2 linked regions of the Oreochromis niloticus genome follow. The protein of the gene in region 1 interacts with the protein of each later gene in a biochemical or structural test. Links are inferred from orthologs where the notes say so. Each region holds a gene or a part of one and is shown on either strand. Other genes may lie near its edges.

What was found.
Region 2: of the proteins of bone morphogenetic protein 1 (region 1) and chrd, one has a biochemical effect on the other in vitro, tested with the Homo sapiens proteins (3 studies listed by BioGRID and IntAct). The link is inferred for Oreochromis niloticus from reciprocal best matches to the Homo sapiens genes BMP1 and CHRD.

The regions. Positions count from the first base shown.
Region 1 is NC_031972.2:22,681,816-22,691,607, forward strand, and holds the start of bone morphogenetic protein 1, read left to right. Parts: upstream 1-5,930; 5' UTR 5,931-6,293; coding exon 6,294-6,426; intron 6,427-9,792. Other genes in the region: antxr1b (anthrax toxin receptor 1), read right to left, coding at 373-452, 676-709, 828-909, 1,015-1,086, 1,194-1,265, 3,924-4,123. UniProt on the Homo sapiens protein: Metalloprotease that plays key roles in regulating the formation of the extracellular matrix (ECM) via processing of various precursor proteins into mature functional enzymes or structural proteins.
Region 2 is NC_031979.2:6,276,744-6,287,308, reverse strand, and holds the start of chrd (chordin), read right to left. Parts: upstream 4,131-10,565; 5' UTR 3,631-4,130; coding exon 3,486-3,630; intron 3,094-3,485; exon of another isoform or gene 3,020-3,093; intron 2,996-3,019; exon of another isoform or gene 2,855-2,995; intron 2,793-2,854; exon of another isoform or gene 2,774-2,792; intron 1,298-2,773; coding exon 1,194-1,297; intron 1,070-1,193; coding exon 943-1,069; intron 1-942. UniProt on the Homo sapiens protein: Dorsalizing factor. Key developmental protein that dorsalizes early vertebrate embryonic tissues by binding to ventralizing TGF-beta family bone morphogenetic proteins (BMPs) and sequestering them in latent complexes.

The sequences.
Region 1 (9,792 bases):
AAAGATGTCTATAAAACTTTGGTGAATTTTCTTGAAACCTAAGAAATCAACCCATGATGACCATTTAAGAGAATGTAGGTGTAAGGTTTTCCACCGTCCATCTTTTATTTACAGTCTATGATTTCGACCTATAGAGGGACACACACTTTCTGGAGTGCGTACAGTAGCTCAGCGTGCATTCACACTTTAGGTTCTCTAATGTTCTAATAGTGTTTTGAGCAATTTAGTGAGAAGAAAATACACAGTACGCTGTATTTACATAATCTTGTGCTTTGTACTAAAACAGGCTTTAAATTTCTATTTAAGTTAATAATTGTTCATAAACTTCTTAATTAAGTGTTATTAAGTTTCTTTTCACAGTGATTCTTCTACCTCTCTTTGAGCCAGGTCAAACTGATTTTCTCTCAGTTCACCGTCCGTCAGGGCAATGATGACACTGGCTGTCCGGTAACCTACAGCACAGAAGGAAGAGCTGTTAAAATGCTAAAAAGAAACAAAAATCTGTAAGAGCACAATCTATGAATCGGAAAAATATTTTGAACATATTTGTGATGTGAAGAGCAGCTGTGTTTATATTGTAAATTGAATTAGGAGTAAAATTAATTTTAATGTTTGGGTCAAAGACTTTACTATGATTAAGTGTTTAAAAAAGAAAGAAAGAAAAAATCTACTTACCATCTCCAGTCCCGTAGTATATTTGCTCGCTGGCCTGAGAGGGAAGTTTTGAGGCGTCAGTGGCTATAAACTTTAAAAAGGCCTCATTTAAAGGCTCAGATGCCATGCTGTTGGGTAGGGTCCGTTTTTCATTGACTTTACAGATGACTTACCCTTTGAAATCCTCTGTGCATGAAGGTGTCTCCGCCTGGCTGCACCATACGTAACTCCTCCAGTCCCGCCCGAATCTGATCTCTGATTATTGACATGTGAAAAAGGACAAAAACTACTGATCAGAAGGGAGAGATACAACAAATTAAAAATAATTAATAAATTTAGGTCTGTTCGTATATGTGCCACCTGTCTTCTGTTAGAGCCATGAGAATCCTTCCTTCTGTTGAAAATACAATAAAAGACATCCGTAGCTGAGGACTGGGGAAAAAAAGCACCGGAGATGATTGTTACATGTTATAAATCTTTATATATATTTTTTTCCCCCCCTTTACTCTTTTAGTGCCACGGCTTGTGCGTAGCTGTACCTGATAAACTTGTGAGCCAGATGATCAACAAAGTAATAGATCTCATTCCAGTAATGCTGCACACTGCCAGACCTGAAACAAAGATTCAGCATTTTCAGTGACACACAGGAGCTTTGGCTCAAAAGTCAATTCACAGTTGACTGAAAAAGACACGCAACTTAGAAACACTCTAATAGTGAACAACTTAATGCTGTTTTCCTGTTGTTTAGCTTCTTCACTTCCAGAATTAGTAAGAATATAAAGGGAGCCATCAAAACAGACAACTAATGTTTTACAAGAAAATCATGACATTAAAAGCTGAAAGACGGAAACACAGAATTTCTGTAAAATTGTGGAAACTGCCTTTAAAGTCTAGATCTCCTTATAACCCTGTAATGTTATGTAATTAAAGACAGTATTGTTTTTGCACTGCATACAATATAATAGCTTTAGCTGGCTGAAAGAAGGACTGGAGCCTATCCTCACAGTGAGCAGCAGTGATGGAGAACATGGTGGACATGTCTGACTTATTAAAGGTGTTTTAGTTAAAGATTATTCTTATTGTGATTATCAGCTATCACCTGAATCTTTTTGTGTAAAAATATTTTAGAAAGAAGAGGAAATTACTGGTGTTGAGTGCTTTAAAAGAAGGCGACTGGACTTCTTTTTGGCTCGTGAAGATGTTTTTAACTTTTCATCCACAAGGCTTCTTCAGTTCTAAAACAGCTGGCCAAGAGTCCAGGTATTTAACCTGTAGCGGGGACTGTCCGCTGTCCGCTTGTCCCCTGTCCACTCAACTGAGCTTTAGCTGTTGTGGACACCAAATTATGGAATCAGTGTGAACAACTGATATTTTTAAACAGCTTCTAAAAGCATAAATATTCTCCAAGACATTTTAAGTTTAGTACCAGAGTTTTAATCATTTTTTAACCTCCTGCTTTTTCTGTTTTATTTCTTATAAATTATATTGTCTATTTATTTCAATTTTGTATGTTTTGCTGTTATTTATTTTCCTTTTATTTGATATTTGTTTCTGTGTTTTATTGCTCCTTTTTTTTAACTAGAAAGTACTCAGCTCAGCTATGCTGCTATGCTAAATAAGGTTGGATGGGACTGGTATACTATTCTTGGTATACTATTCATAAAAAATCTCACTTTTTTTATGTGACTTTACTGCCCACTTTTACTCCAAAGCCAAAGTTAAAGTGCCACTTGGCTTCCTCTTGGGTCCAGGTTTTGTGACAGGTGCAGACCAACATAAACAGATGATTTCTCTAAGTGGAAGGCAGTAATTAAAGAGACTCGTGGAGCAAATATGCACAACTTCTTGTGCCCCCTTTCTCTCTCTGCACTCTCCCTTCTCCTCCTCCCTTATGTTTTCATTTATCCTGTGATGTGAGTCGCAGTGCAGAGAAAGCCAAACATTCGGGATCTTTGGAACATCTGGCTCTAATGGAGAAAGGGTTCTGCAGATCGAAGCGCAGAGAGATGAAGTTGGGACTGGATGTGGGCAGCGCCTGTCAGCGAAGAGCGGCCGCTGTTGGAAAACAGGAATCCCTGCAGGGCAGTTTATCATCCGCTGATGCATGAATGCATGAAGATGTCACCGTGTAAACACACTTCATGTCAGTTCTTACAACTTTGAGGTGATTTGCAAAAAGAAAACGATGTGCATGTTTTTGATTTATGTATGCGTGGCTCTTTTAAGAGAGAATTTATGAAACAGCACACTGATGTGACTTGACCTGTTCAACAGAGTCATGTTAGCCTCATGACATTTAATTGAACCCTTATGTGAGCTCTTGGCATTTGAGTCTCTTATAATCTGCGACTGTTTCCTTCAATAAAATGGGACGATACCGCAATTACAGCTGAGAACAATAAGTATTCTAATATAAGTACTATAATATCACAATCATTTAAGCCATTTAAGACAAAAACAACCTTTTGTATATGAATAGAAATATTTCGGGGTTTCACATTGTACAAAATAACACATTTAAAGACTTTATTTTAGACTCTGAAACTCCAGTTGGTGTTTTTCACCATGTTGGCCTTTATATACAACATTTCTAATCTTATTAACCACTGAATGCACTTCACCCTGCAATCCACACTCATCCATTCACACATATTCATATAGTGCTTTTTCTTCAATGCATACGTCAAACATACTGACACAGATTGGTGCAACAGGGGCCGCTTTACCTCCTAAGCTGTTTGCACAGTAACTCAGCTACTGATTACCTAGAAAATCAGTTGATAATTCATTCAGTTTTAATTTGATGGTGTAGATCACAGCTGCAATGAGTTTGTATCTCACAAATGCAAATGCAATATCATGAGTTGATGGAGTTTTGAACTGTTGCGGCAGGTACAGCTTTAGGAAATTAGCAAATCTGATGACCGAGTCTGTTCTTTTTAAATCAGGCTTCTACTGGTGTGATCAGAAAGCCTCAAGCAGGTGACATTTCAAAATTAAAAATGTATTATATACATGTCACTTAGAGTCACATTCGATTCTGTTTCTATCTGGAAACCAGACCCTACCTTCAACTTTATAAAGGCCTTAATATTTCAATAGGCTGAAACATGCTAGTTACATCACAGTAGCATATTTTTGTCAGGCAAGTAGCAGCCCATCATTGCCTCTGGATGACAGCTTGACTGATGTGTGCACCTGTGCCTTCAAAAAGCACCAATGAGTCACACAGATCTCTTCTTTGATCAAGTAAAAATAAAAGCACTCACTTGTCCAAAACAAAGTAGAGGTCAAATCCTCCATAGCACGATGACCCGGCTTGCCTCCGCTCAAATAGCTGAGCTGTGCTGCCAGCCGCCAGGACTGCCACCAGTATACCCAGTTCCACACAAAGCAGGACCCGCCTGCACCAGCACTGGGACATCACTCCAAATTTAAGAGAGCAATCAGCCTGGGAGATGGTAAACATAAATATTGTCTCAGGATGAAGGATTTTTCTTTTCCTTTGGGCTCCTCTCCTTACAGTGCTCTGGAGGTTTCAGCCATACAGACTGAGGCATGAAGAGAGCTCTCCTCCTGATCAGGGTCCCATCTCCTCAGGAGCAGATGTGTGGTGGCAGAGGAGGAGTGAGGCTTGTGGGACCGAGTCTTCGACTCCCACTCACATCACACTTGTAGCAAACTTTGCCAAGAGTTTGCACAGCAAAACAAAACACTCATGCATAGGAGGCTGATTTACTCCTCCTCTCTTCTCAGAGTGTTTCTCTGAATGACTCCACAGCTATGTCCAGGTATTTGTTTTCACTCATACTTTTCTTTGTTTTGTTTTTTTCTTCTTCTTTTTTTCCTTTACTTCTTTTGGTAGTTCACTTGATTCTACAACTTACCCATCAGTGCCACTCAGTGGTAAACATATGCACTGTGCAAAGCTGTCACTGCAAATAAACATTAAACACTTTTTTTCCACACTGCTTTTAATATTTTAGTGGAACTAAATGTCAGATGATTCACAAGAGAAATACTATACAGGGTTAATATAAAGTGTCCAAATGAAGGATTTTCTCTTTGAGGCTGAACCATTTCTTGGTTATGCTGCTATAGGCTCAGACTGCTGCAGGGAGCCCTGCAATACACTGTGATGCACTGAGCACTCCTTTACTCACCTCTTTTCATTACTCATTTCATTGCTCGAGGCTTCTTCCTGTTAAAAGGGAGTTTTTCCTTCCCACTGTCACAAACTGCTTGCTCACTAAGTGCCTCTTGTATAGTGTTGCTTTGATTTGGTTTATATAAATAAACCTCAGTGGAACTGAACTGAATTAAACTCTTTTAGGTGATTAACAATCGGTAAACCAAATGGTTAAAGAATAACACAGGATGATTCACATGCTGTCTGATACTGTATGTTCCACTTCAGAAGCCAAATCAATTTAATGTCCCACACTCAACAAATTAGCAGTCATTAACAATAAAGAATAATTTTATATTTCTGTTATGTAGGAATTTCAAAAACATGATTGTTGGATTTTATTATACTTAGTAAGATCTGGAATATATCATTTCGCACGCTTTGTTACGTGTATTTCATCTCTTTCCACCAGGTGCCCTTGGTCTGATTTCTAGTCTTTGCCTCATCCCTCAGTCCCCTGGAGCAGCTGGATGCCTTTTCCAGCTTCTCCTAAGTGTCTTACAGGATTAATGTGCCAGATCATCATCATCATTATTATTATTATTATTCTTATTATTCTTCTTCTTATTATTATTATTATTATTTCATGTTAAATCACTCACGATAGAAGTCCCCTTCTATCAGTATCACTACAGTCAACTTTTCAGAAAGTTTCGAAACCTCATCACACAGTACTTTCATAATTTCTTTTGATGGGAAATCTTACTGTATGTTATGTAAATAAATATAAATAAATAAACAGTTCTTTTGTTTGTTTTTGGAAATTACATAAGAAGGATAGTAAGACTTTTGGCGAAAAAAAAAATAAAATAAAGATATTTTGTTTGTTTTTTAAAATTTCCCTTAGCTTCAGTTATGAGTCAGCTCCTCTCTTAACTGCTGAGTCAGTATTCCCGCATTTCAGAGCTAACGTGTGAGTGGACCCTGTAGCCTGCAGGTGGTGTAGCGGGTCAGGAATCAGCACCTTGTGATAAAGTCTCTGAGGCATAAACAGTATCGGGATTCTGTTACACAAACACGACCAAGTCTATCTTATTTAACCGATGTAGGTTGTCGAGAAACAGTTGTAGTGCACAAATACAGGATAGGCTACATGTCAGGTGCTCGGTGATGCTTTGTGGTCCGGCTATAGGTGTTTTTTCCCCCTTTAATTTTAAATGTTTCTAACATGTTTATTAACACAGAAAGAAATGACACGGATTTTACCCGCGCTTACGTCCGATGTAAAGCCCCCTAAGTCACCTGACAGCAGGTGAAGCACCTCTCTGGCTTCAGAGGCATGGGTGTGTGCATTGCTGTGCGCTCGGTGCTGGATGTCAGCGAAATCACTGCAGCAGCATGGAGACGTGAGGAAACAGCGCCGCTGGGCAGAAGAGTCTTTTCAGCGCCCTTTTCTCTTACTGCAGCACAATTACCAACTTTATCTCCTCTGCATATTTGATCAAAGGCAATGGAAGTCGCTCCTAGATTTTTGTTCCTGCTGTGCGGTCTTTGCGTTTCTCTGGCGGCTGATTGGGAGACTGTGGAAACAACTTTTACTGACCTCGGGGACGAAATCGACTACAAGGATCCATGTAAAGCCGGTACTGTCCATATTACTGTACATCATACCTCCTTCTCTTGTTGTGTGTTATTGGTGTATTTTTTGGCCAACAGCCTTTAGTCTTGAAGGCTCCAATCCCTGTGAGAAGGGCTAGATGTTTATTAAAGGATAAACCTTTAAAAGAAGGGAAAATGATGCTCTCAGCTTAATAGGTGTGAAAACTGGATGTGAATAAGCTTTAAACCAGGGGAAATATTTTCAATCCAAAAATAATATTCATATATATATATGTATATATATATATATATATGTATATATATATATATACAGTATATATATATATATATTTTACATTTTATTGTTGTTTGAAAATATTTAGAATAGCAGCTAATCGATTGTGAAGATGTTACACAATATGTTCAAATACAAAAAGTGTAAATGTTGTACATCCTCTGGAACAAAAAGTGATTTTTTTTAACCTAAAGCTATTAAATCAAGTTTAATAAGAAGTTAAAAAAAACCTGTTAAACGACATGAAAATGGTGTAAATGCAGTTTTAAAAGACAAACAAAGCGATTGTGCCATTGCAAAATGCAGTGGTTTTTACAAAAAGGACTACTTTTAAAGTAAAATGTAGACTTTCTGTACTGAATAATTTCAACCAATTATTTTTTTGTTTGCATTTATTAATATGTGTTTTATCTTTCAAAGTAAAGCAAGCATGTTTTTATCTTTACTCAGTTGTAAGAAAGAGATGCAGAGGTGACAGTGACGTTATAGACACAGCACAGTATGTACCCCAGATTAATTTATTTAGTGAAATAATTGTTCTTTTAATCATGTTATACTTTTTTTTAAAAAAAACCCTATTATTACTGTATTTTCAGTATTTTCAATTTTAGTGTTCAACAGTGTAAATGTTGTTACACTTCAAAGGTCTGTCATGTAAAATAACAGTAATTCTGGTAGAGAATGTTAAAATAATACATGCTCCAAAATAAAGTAATGCCATATTTCCTTAATATAACGACAGAGTATTGTGAGCAAGATGCAAGAAACTGCATCTGTTGAAATTAATGTGTTAAAGTACAATAGTTGTTTCTTAAATGCAATGAAGAGTAACTTTAAATACCTGCAGTCAAGACAATACCATAAACTTTCAATTAACATAAGTGCAGTGGTACATGGCACATGTCTGTGTTTTTAATATAAACGGGTTGTACTGTCATAACTAAAAGTTTAGGCAATGGCACAGATTTAGCATTTCACACACTTTGGTTCAATTTTTTTGTTACATTTTTACTTCCTTTGATGATGAAGAACAATCATAAGCATTTTATGCATTTCAAAGACTTTTATTGTTAAACAAAAAACATTTTTGCAAAGAGTCAGTATGTACAATGCTGACCTTTCTTCATAACTTCTGCAATTCTGCACGACGTGTTGGATATCAGCCTCCGAGCCAAATCCTAATTGATGGAGATCCAAACTCCAGGATGTTCCCAGTATGTGAGCTTCTGCTTGTCCATCCACTTTTTTAAGGTCTTGCTTAGGCATAAACTCTTGGTCTGGAGAGTTTCGACTCGCTTTTGGCTTATGACATGGCGCTCCATCATGCATGAATGTGATTATGATCATCGTTATGATCGACTTGGTGCACTGACAAGCCAGGAATGGATGATCATCAATCAGGATTTACCACAGAAACTGACATCCAGTCTGCCACAGAGGACTGCAGAAGTCATGAAGAAGAACATGTTCCTCATGTTTAACATTTTTTGAGAGGGGAAAAAATCCCATTAAAACAAAACATGTTTAATGTCATATTATGCTATATTGGTAAAGGACATCCAGGCAATATGTATATGTATATATACATATATATATATATTTATATATATGTATAAAAGAAAAGATTTCCATCATCTAACAAACAGTTCACTGTGGTTATCCTGGGGCCTCCAGCAGGTTGGGGTTCCTTTTTCACTTGTGACTTCTGAAGCTTTCAAAACAGACCACTCTTCCACTCTAGGGGAGTTGCCTGGAGACTTGAGGTCACTGAGGCCGTGCCAGCACAACCCTCAGCTGGACTGTGGTGAAATCCCTCGAGCTCCAGAGCATGGGGTGCACACTGCAGGGGTGACAGTCATTTACAGTCACCCTTTGCTTGAGTGAGTTTACTTCAAAGGCTGACACAGGGCCCACTACCTCTTTTCATTTGTACTTTCAAAGGTTGTTACATCACACTGTTAAATGAGGTATTTAGAGTGAAAGACTCAAGTGAGCAGCTCTGCTTGGCCAATATGATGGATATTATTTCTCAGAGAGCGTGTCATGTCATCTTTGAGTTTTGTAAGTTATCTACAACCCTTAATTGTGTTCCTCACTCTCACCTTTGTTGGCCAATGGAGGATGTTTCATAGCTAATCTTGTAGCTCAGCATAGAAGTTTAGGGTTTCTTCGTTCACTTCCCCACGGTCTGTTAGAGCCCAGTTTTCTGTCAGACTCTTCTTTAACAGTTCTCTGCAGCTGACATTGAGCTATGCCATATTTTGAAGCTGTTTCACCACTTTTGTCTTCTACTGTGTTTGCTGCACTGCTGACTTTGTAAGAAATCCTGTAGTGACGCAACTTGTTTTTTTTTTGAAGGTATTGCAGAAAAGTTGATGAGACCTTTAAAAATCTACCTCTGGGGCATTTACCTCTGTGAATTCGTGGAGTTCACTCGTTTTGTGTGTCAAAGTGCAAATTCAGTCCATTTTGTCTGCTGTTAGCATTTTATATACAGACCTGTATGAAAGAGCCAATGCTCATTTCTTTATATTGTGGTATGGAAAATATGTGTAGTGATTTATTGTAGCAAGAATACATGGAGAGCCAGTGTATGAGGTAAAAAAAATGAGTTCAATTTTAATAAGTTTGAATTTTTTGTAATTTCTTTGTGATTTCTTTATGTAGTCTTCAGGAATAGTTCTAGAGGCTTCTTGGAGGACATTCAAAGCTCTTCTTTGGCTGCTCTTTGTTCTGTTCTGTCAAATATGATCCCACACTGCATCAGTAATGTTGAGGTCCAGGCTTTGGGGAGACCAATCCATGAGTCTGGTCTCATGGATTGGTCTCCTTAATAAAAATTAATCAAACACTTTACAGGAGGTACTGCATGGTGGATCAAAATCTAGTGGTATTTTTCTATGTTCATAATTCCACAAATTTTGACAGGATCTCCATCACCACTGACTAAAATGCAGCTCCAAACCATGACAGAGCCGCCACTGTGTTTTACAGACAGCTGTAGACACACCCTTCCCTCACCTCCTGACCTCCTCCATATATCTTGATGATGATTTGAATCAACAATTTGGATTTATCACTCCATCAGTCTAGTTCTTGTGTAATTTGGTATACC
Region 2 (10,565 bases), on another chromosome or scaffold:
CACACACACACCACCTAAAACTCATCTCCAATCTCATAATTCCTCTGCTCTACTGGGCACGCTGAAGCCCTTCTGGGCAGCGTCACTCTCACTTCTCCCCAGTTGGTAATACTACATCCTCAGGTGCTCACACACACACTTATACACACACCATTTTCCAACACTTACACAAATATACCAGGTGCAAGGGTGCCAAAGCTAAGACAAACACACTCAACCTTTTCCTTAAAGCTTGACCACAACAGACATGCACACACATATATAAACTCACAGTGTCTCCACAGTGTTTTACCTTTACTTTCCATTCCATTACCACACATGCCATGGAGAAAAACACCCATGGAGAATAACACTGCAGCATGAAGGCCCACCCTGTGTGTGTGTGTGTGTGTGTGTGTGTGTGTGTGTATGTGTGTGTGTGCGTGCGTGCGTGTGTGACCATGTGTAAAGCAGCTCTGACTCCTAATAGGGTGAGACTGTGTGCGCAGCAGTGTGCAGACAAGGTAAGTGACTATGTGAGAATGAGGCTAAATAGGTGGGTGGTGCTTTCAGCTGAGACTGGTTAGAGAAAATGTCCATTTGATGCGGCTGAATGGAAAATCAATTGACTCGCTCATTGTATTCAGCAGCTGTTCTGATGGCGAACAAGCTTACCCAAGGAGGGAAGAAAAAAAACAACAACCAAGGAAAGGTTATAGAGAGGAAGAAGAAAAAGAAAGAAAGAAATAGAAGTTGAACAGAATAAACAAAAAGAAAGTCGAAAAAATTGCTCTTGTGACAAAGGGGGGAAACAACTGCTCTCTCCACATACAGTTTGTTTACTGAATTACGAATGTTCATGCTTGTTTATTCAGCTGCCTGTTTTTCGTGTGTTTAGGACTACTAGAATGGCTTGAAATCTACAAAAGCTGAGAGCAGCATTTGAGCTGAGAGGATGATTACCTTGAAGACAGGTTTTGCAGCAGTGCCCCGCCAGCTGGACAGGATTGTCACAGTCCAGGGCCGGACAGTCTTGTTTTATGTTTTTGCAGTTTACCTTTCCAGACACCTTACCACGGCGACTCTTTTGCTGCCAGAGAAAAATAAAAACAAACACACACACATTAGTCAGCTCACCTGGAGTTACAGCTTACTGCAGGGGAAAAAAGTCAAACGCAACATGTGGAGTGAGATCACACTAAGCCAAAACTTACAGGTTCACAGTGGCACTGGACACAGTGCATGATGCCAAAGGGCTCCCCCAGGTCTGGGTGCCACTTGTCCTCCAGGGAATAAAAGCGACCTCCAAATGAGCATCCTGCAACACCAACATTGTTGATTACACACAGCAAACATTAGGCGATTACAACCTAATTTCTTTGGCTCTTTCCAAAATAAAGAACAACTTGATTAGAAAAGCAAAATGATATGCTTAAAAAAATGTTTTTCTTTTTGAGATATGCCAAAATTAATTAGGGAACACAACAACAACAACAACAAAACTTTTAAAAAACATATTAAAAGATAAGCTGGCCTTTCTGATATTTAGAGTTTTCCTACTATGTTCTGTCATAAGTGGTGGAACCTCATATTAAACATGGCCAAAGTTTTAAAGATCAGAGGATATATACAAGAAACCCCTGTGAACAAAAGCTCAAGGCTGAGTATAAGGCAAATAAGGATTATTTTGAACGGAATATCATGCAAAGCTATTCTAGTAAGTTCTAATAATAAAAAATTAAAACATTTAAAAATAAAAAACCACACAACTTAAAAAATAAGGATAATATTCCACTTTAATAGCAAGAAAAAGTAAAACTCATTTTTATGACAAACCACAGATACCAGACCACGATTGCCATTTGCATACTTAAAAACAAATAAATCCCACACATGAGCTCACTGCCCAGACTTGCTGGAAGCTACCAAAACTCCCTGGATGCCTCAAATTTTGGAACTCGAGCTTTGCATCCTGTCTGATCTAAATGATCCAGAGAGAAGTTCCACTCAAACTTATCAGAGATTCCCAGAAACACACACAGATCACAGGCCACGCCTTAATTAATTCAGTGGGCATATTATAAAGATTATACAGTATACTGAACTTCTAGTGAAAAGGATTTTTACAGTACATGATGGGTCAGCTATGTTTCAGTCTACTTTGAAATGAAAGTGAACAATGGGCTGCAACTCTTCCCATATTTTGCCCAAAGTGGATGTGAAGGAACTCTAACACTCTTGCAAAACATGTGAGCCTTTCACTTTAAACCCAGTGTGCTGGAGCCGAGCCACGGCTATAAAATACACATCCATGTCCTAATATGTAGGGACGGGGCTGTATATTGATGTTACAGGGGATAAAAATAGCTTTCAGTGTTGTTATTACTAGGCTGCACTCATAATTAAGTGTTTGTCACGCCGAGTTACTGCAGGAGTATTATAATTATTTTTGGTTAGGGTGACTGTATGTGGTGTGTGCACACACAAACTTGATGTTACCCTGGCCAGCTTCACTCGAGCTGATGGCTCTCCCCCGCTCACGGCTACCAAGCTGGTTCGCATTATTCTTTCATTAAAGTGACTGCACACTTTAAACAGTCCAGTCGAGTTAAAGGGAGAGCCAAACGGAGAGCCTCCCCACTCCGCGCTGCGCTCAAGTAGAGGAGGAGGAGGCTCTGAGGAGCCAGCGCTTGTAATGGAAAGTCGATTGATTAGAGTTTCCAACATGAAATTACACGTTATAACGGGGTGGTTAACGTGGAGTTCCCGCTGCTCTGAGCTCCAGAGTAGTTACCTTATAAAAACCGCGGCGAGCTTTTGTACGAAGGGGCTTTCACAAATGAATCAAAAGGCATCGACTGCGGTTATGACTCACATGTTTGCCGCTGGTTTACACATGAAGCAACCTGGAACCGGGAGAGGAAACTAGAAAAAAACGACTGTGTACTACTGCAGCGGAAAAAAACTAACTTTTAAATGTCGAGATTTAACGGTTTTTAAATGTTAGCTAGCTCCGCTATCGGCGCTGCTGTCACGTGCACAGCTGGGGGGGTGAACTGGGGTCATAACCCCACACCCATGAAACAACTCACGGGAAAAAGAGACATTTTAACAGTAAGTACTTTTATACCAAATTATGCACACTTGAAAAAATACAGCCTTCTTATAAAAAAAGAAATAATTTAAACAAAAGTTTTAAAGCAAACAAACTTTTAAATTGTTAGTTAGCTGCTGCTCAGTGCTGCCCCCTGGGTCACAAACTGTTTACACAGCAGGGGTTGTCTGATTTGGAAGCCTGAAACTGATGCTAACAAATGCAGCTTAGGTAGCCAACTTCTTCAGCGGCTTTCAAAGCGTGCGGCCATTTTTATAGCTATTGCTGGTATAAAAAAAAACAAAAAACAAACCAATATACACCAGCTGCCAGCTCAAGGCTGTAACACCGCTTTTCTTAGGTGGCTTCTCTTACGTTTCCAAAATTGTCTTACGTTTCCAAAACAACATACCTGATGTGCCTTTGAAGGGCAGCGGTTCTGTCTCGGGCTGGATGGGCAAAGAGGGAGACTTGAGCCGCGAGGCCGCTCCTCCGTGCAGCCACCACGCGCAGCTCAGCGCGCAAAGCAAGGAGTGGAGCGCGCAGGGAAGCAGCATCCCAAACCTCCGCAAAGGACTCCCTTCAAAAACTCCCGAGAAACCGGCTTCTTTAAACCAGCAATTACAGTAATGAGAGAGAATAAAAAGTTTCCTCCTTATAACAAAACGTCCTTTGTCGTTAGCTGTGAACGTCCGCTGTTGAGAATCATCCGAGTTTCGGCAAGACAAAAAGTTTTCCGTGAGCAGGGCAGTACTTGCACCGTCTTTCCTCGGTACCAGCGGTCTCCTCGCAGCCCCGTCTCGTTTGATTTTATAGGCTGCTTCCCTGACAGCTCCAAACAGCCGGGAGGAGGAGGAAGGGGGAAGATGAAGGGTGGGCCGGGTGATGGGTGAGGGGGTGGATGATGGACAGGGCAATCGACACCCCTATCAACTCAATACGCTGTCGAAAAGACTGGGCAGGTACAGCAGTGTGTTTCAACACACATATCTGAGACGAGGTGACGGCATAAATATCTTTCCTGGCATTGCATTAGCTTGGTAAATATTTTTTTTTTTCTGGTTGTTGTTAAAATAAAATAGCTTCTCTGCAACACCCCCTCCTATTTTTTTCATGTTGCATGTTTGATGTTGAAGTTATAAAGGACCGTGGGTGCTTTTAATAAAGTTTAATACGCTGCTGCTTCGGTATTAAAGGTGTCAGCTATATTTTTTTGTGTGTGTGCCAATCCCGTGGGAGTTTCGATAGTGGCATGCTGCTCTCTTGATTTAGTTCTCGTGTAATTGTATCAGTGTTGGTGTTATTTAGCGGTGATTACCCCTTTATCTGTCTGTTTCCCCAACTTTAATCATTTGGCCTTTGCACAGATTAAAGCGCTGTGCCGTAAGATAAAAGCCTAATCTGCTCACCGCAATGAGCGCCACGCTTTCAGCCATCTGACGCCCACGGACATGAGCCACAAGCTCTGGGGAGAAAGTGGGAATCTCCAGCTCATGTACAGTAAGGAATGTGTGAGTGTCCGCTGCTTTCTGTTCCCTTATTTTTTTCAAGTGCGTTTGGCGCTGAGACCTAAGTGACTTAACAGAAACAAATGAAAATAGTTGGAATACCTCATGGCAAATTTCTCCTGGCCCTTCTGCAGACCTCTGTGCCCCCCTCCCGCACAGTTTCCCTTTGGCTTGTCTCGAAGCCATAGCTGCTTGAACGGTTCCACTTAAAATCACATGTATTTTAAAATAAAATTAATTCATTTGTGGTTGTGTTGGGGGCTATATAACCTAAATTCTTTTACAAATTCACCACATCAACAACAAGTGAAATTTATTAGGGACTATTTAGCCCTGGGAAATGTCCCCATCAAACAAAAGCAGCGGTTAACAGTCCAGTTCCTCACTGTGGTCCCTACAGAGGGGAGCCCAGAACAAACTGGTCAGGTTTACATTACAATAGTGCTGCTCATGGTTGATTTATACCACAGGGTTCAGGAAAGGTCAGGCTTTGTGAAGAATGTTACCAAGCTTTCTGTATTTACAGTTCACCTGGTAGTTTGTGTCTCATTTTGCTCTTCTTTCCTATCAAATCCACACACCCCACTGACGCACAGCAGCACTGTGCACTCCGCTGTATATTATGTACCTCCTCCTAGACCGCTTTGGCGACAAATCGACTGCAAGGGCCATTAATATTACTAGCTCCATCTTAAATCGTTGCGCAAAATGTGCTAAATCGGTATGGCTTCGCTGGTAGATGTGTTTTCGCCTCTATGCAACATTTCAAACTCATCCGTGGATTACTTTGTCCACACATAGGCTAGAAAATGCATTAATATTGATAGCTCTATTAAACCGTTGCATTAAAAAAAGCGCCAGTTTCATTCGTTCCGTGCCAAAGGCGCAGGTAAGGTGTTATTTTTTTTATACATGTGTCACATTACATGGCCTTTAGGAGCCACTTCCACCCGAGTGTGAGGATTTACGCGGCTCCCCCCATCGCAACTGCCCAACCCTCTTTCACCTCAGCAATGGGACTCAATGATGGGCTATTTGCTCTTCATGATAGGGTGATAAGCGACTCTTTTCTTCTGCGCTGCAAAGTGATTAATTAAGCAGACGGGATGGCAAATCGTCTATATAAAAAACGCAGTATACATATACAGCCCCCCCCCCCCCCCATAGCATACTGACAGCGGGTTTTTGTGTATTGGAGGTGTCCTGCGCTTGAAAATCAGTCTGGCACCTCTGTTTCATAGTACTTAAAAATATAACACGACATTTCTCTGAGGTCTCAAAGTAATTCTTTTCGACCATCAACTAAAAGATCACAAATACACATTTAAGTTTCAAGGTGTCCGCTCTGCTCTGAGCGCAACTTTTATTTTGATGGTTTGTAAGGCTGGCAGGGGGAACACTGATCGAATAGTTTAATCCTTCGGCGAATTAAATCAGTCCTCACCTGCAGTATTTTATTTTGTTTTGCTTTATTTTATTTTTATCAGGGGAAAATCGTCATATTCCCTTACTAAAATCTGACTTTTAGGTTCAGAAATAAAGCAAATGATTTAAATAAAGTCATAATTCATGTATGTTTTATCAAGAGACACATTAAGAAAAAATAAACCTGAGCATGTTTATAATGACGTATTTATGACCTGTTGCTGATAACTCGCAAAGATTCAATCGCATTGTAAATCTTTTTTTAACGAGTGTATCTTGGCCTCAGATCCTTGGATTTCCCTCCACCGCAGGATTTATAGGGTCGTATAATGGTCATTATTCGGTATTGATTACAGATTGTTTCCTGGATAAAAACAATGGTCTTGGATTGATCACTGTCCCTCATTAATCTCCGCTTTAAGGCAGGAGATGAGCGGACTGGAAAGGAGAGGCTCAAAAGTCTTAAGTCATCTCTAATTTGCCACGAAAGATTACAGCCCAGTAAAAATCGATTAACCGTGGATGTGGATGCTGGCAGCTCTGTGCGGTTGTGATCAGGATATAATTAAAAGCAGACACGGTGCTCTCTCTATTTTATTAAGATTCCCGCTCCGCTGTCCGGGGAGCTTTCTCAGAAGAGTGCGCAATAACCTGAAACACTGCTGGCACAGAACGGCCGTGGATGTTTTTTACGTGACACCATTACAAGGACATTATTAAAAGTTCTCAGCGAGCCTGCGGCGCGCGCCTGGGTTTGCGAGGGAGGGGGGTGGTCAACGGTGGGTATCGGCTGTCAATCACGCATAATAAAGGTTCACCCACGAATACACTCATGGATACTTTCTTCTCTAATGGAGAGCAAATCGCTGTGTATTTGCTCTTTTTTCACGCCAGACGACCACAGCTTCATCCTACCCCCACCTCCACATCCAGTCTGATTCCACAGAGCACACTCAAGGGGGGGCGGGGGGGCATCCTGTTTGCTGCTCGGAGTGACGGGAGGTGTGAATATCAGTCAGCCCTGGATGTCCCGCTCATGCACCTCCCTTTCAGTCACCACCTGTTCCCAGACTCGATGTGCCTCCACGCGCTCACATTGAGAAGCGTCGGTTTCAGAATTATTCTCTTTAGAGTCATACACTCTGCGTGACCTTCCCTTTTTTGCCGCCATGCATCTCAAAGACCCCAATTATTTCTGACTCATGTTTAGATACACGGCCCCGGTTGTAATTGCGCGTTTCCCTTTTGGAATCCAGCGTCGATTTAGGTTTCTATCAAGGGCAGACATCTGAAAAAGAGGTAGCTTACTTCGAGATGCTGGAAACTGTCATCAAAAAAAGAAAAGTCTTTTTTTTTTTTTTTAAATCTATCTATCGTGTTTTTAAAAATGTTCTCTGAATAGGGTAAATTAAGACGCACACCATGCTTTCTCCCCTACCACTGTTATGCTGATGCTGATAATAATAAGAGGCTGTAAAGCTAATTGTGTACTGATGCCGGTAGCGGAAAAGGGGAGAGAGGGGGCGGGCGAGTGGGGAGTGAAATGGGCCTTTGCTCAGTCAGTATGTGAATGTGCAAATGGAAGAAGACGTCTTGCAGAGTTGATGTTTATTCATACAAACTGAATCAATTTGCAGGCACAGTCGAAACTGTGGAGAAAGGAGCGCTGCCCCTGTCTTCTCACCGTCTCCTATTGTGGATCGGGGAGGAGGCGTGACCATAATTACTGCAGGCAATTAGCGAGCATAGGCTATGTCCAAATGCAGTGGAGGTGAGTGTGTGTGTGTGGGGAGGCTGCTCGGTTTGTTTTGACACCTCCGGGAGAAGACCTGTGCAGTTACAGGGGACGTTCCCAGCGTTTAGTTTATCACCAGGACAATGTAGTTTGTGCGTGTGTGGAGTAACAGATGATTAGTAGTGGAGAGTCTACAAAGTTACGCTGAAATTATAAAAAGCTCTTCCTATTTACACCCAGCGAACTTCCCCACACTGACCTTAAATTAGTATGTGATTTTCAGTGATCAAAATACTTATCAGTGAGTAATTGTGCTAAAATGTAGGTACAATAGAGCAAGGAGCTAAGACTTAAAGGAAACATGTTTTTATAAGCAGTGGTTACTCGGAGCTAATTCCGAATCAGAATGCTTTGTTAATTCCAGAGTGAAATCAATGAGAAATATTTTAGAAGACATGGAAAACAAATTATACTCTATTTATGCAATAAGCAAAACACAGTGTTTCCTTTATTCTGTAAGGCAAAACCCTAAAATGATAAAGAGAAAACCCCAACAATCAGATGACCCACCCATGAGCAAGCACTTGACAACAGAGGGAAGGACAAACAGGAAGAAAATGCCAACAGAATGGGGGAGTGGAGTCCATCTGCTGGTTGGGGGTAGATGGCATAGTATTATTAAAGAAATATTTAATAATTATATGTAGTGCTGTACTTTAAAGTCTGGCTATTTCAATAGTTAGTATGTTTCTACTTAGGTTCTTTTCCTGTGTTATATGCATTAGTCTGTCATGTTTTTCAAGATATCACTCTGCAGAGTAAAGGTGTATAGATAGATCCACAGACTCTGAAGGATCAGGTAAAGAATAAAGATAATGGCAGCTAGGTGCACTTTTGGGGGGCCTCTTTGAACAAGAAGACCATTCAAAGTAGCTACTTCACAGGATGCAAAAGACAAAAAGAGAACAAACACAAAGAACCAAAAGAAAATATAAAGAAGGATAAAACATAATGAGATCATAGAATAGAGTAGACGTGTTTGATTTAATAGGTGAATAAAAAAATCAGCTGAAAGCATGCAACTCAAATGCTCAATTATAATTATCTCAAGTACTGCAAGCACTTGCAGTACTTGAGCAAAAGGCGGAAAAAGAAAGTCCAGCATCTTGCTGTGCAGTTCATGTTCAGAGAGCCAGAATGCGACACACATTGCCAAATGTGCACACATGGCACGACACGTTATCCATCCTTCCTGGCAGACTCCCTTCCCACCCTCCCCGCTCTCTCCTGTCGGCCCTTTGAAATCTGCATCACTCGGTCTCATTTCTGTTTACAAGAGTCAAATTGCTTCCACACACTTTATTTGTAAAAGTCGATAGATGTGCAGAGGGGAGAGAGAAGGAGAGAGCGAGCTGTGCCAAAAGCGGTCACGGCACATGCATTTTTTACTCGCGCGGTAAATACCTCCACCGTTAAACATCAACACGCAGTCATCCTGATGAGTGGTCTGAGAGGCGACAGTCTAACAAGCTTCTCCTGACTCATCAGTTATTACAGAGTCTGACCTGCTGCTTAACTGATTTCGTGCTTGCATGAAATGAATGATGCTCAATGGAAAGTTGGCCCAAGTTCCACTGCTACTCCTCCTCCTCTTCAAAAGTGCCCCTGAAGAACTTCTGCTGGTTGATGCTTGTTTTAATTGCAAGGATGTTTCTTTTTCAATGAGATTTACTGTTTGGGTGGTCTGACTGAACATTGGAAGACAATGGAATAGGAAAGAAAAGGCAAACAATCGCTGAAGACAGGCAGGGAGGAGAGGATGGTACAGGAGGGAGTTGCTCATAAGGCTTTATTGCTTAATCACAAGTCAAGTGGTCAAGAATGAATGTGAATATCAGCCGAGCCAAGAATAAATAGTCCTCGGCACCAGTGGTTCTTCCAGCGGGGCTTGGAGCCCTGAAGATTGAGGAGAAAATGAAGGAAAGTTTATGCTTTCATTATTTTCTTTGCCAGAGAATCACAAAATGAATCTTTCCCAAACTTACAAATCCAGAAGTGTTTGGAGCAACAACAAAAAAAAGAAAGAAAAAATGAAAAAAAGGGAGGTGCAACGAAAGGAATAAAAACATTTTTAAAACACCCCCAAATAATACAGATTTGACAAATAAAATGGCAAAAACAGTACCACTTTAATTGTATACTGTGCAAAATATAGTATGTTATTAGTGTGGTGAGGCCATTAGTGAAACCAAGTGGAGCCAGAGACCTAAAAAAGCATGAAATGTCCAAAAAACACAACTTTAAAGTTTTTTTTTCTTTAATCTGCAGATTAAAATGAATTTAAACACCAATAACACCGAAATGAGCAAATAGCTGTTTCTGTTCAAAGAATGAACACACTTATGGCTCAGAATGGTTTCACACTGACGTGTGTAACATGGCCATCTAGTATCATAGTTTGGTGTCTTCTTCTGCCTTCCCTCTTTCTTAAGTATTTTAAACTGTTTTTAAACTGTTCTTATGATGCTTTTCTGCAGCACAGGCTTGGGTCTTGTTGGATGCAGATTCACAGATTGTTACTAATATTTTTGCTTTATTCTTGTGTCAAGTCAGATACTTTCTGTTAGTATACTTTTTAGCAGGATACAGGCCTGGCAGAGGTAGGAAGTGAAAGATTTCAATAGAGAAAGAGTATGAAAAAAAGTGAGAGATTTGTCTAAAGACCCAGAACAATTGTCAGGACACAATGACTTGGCCAAGTCAAGAATTGTAGACTTAAAGAAAACAATTACTGGAAACTTGCACAGGAATGGATAGTGGGGAT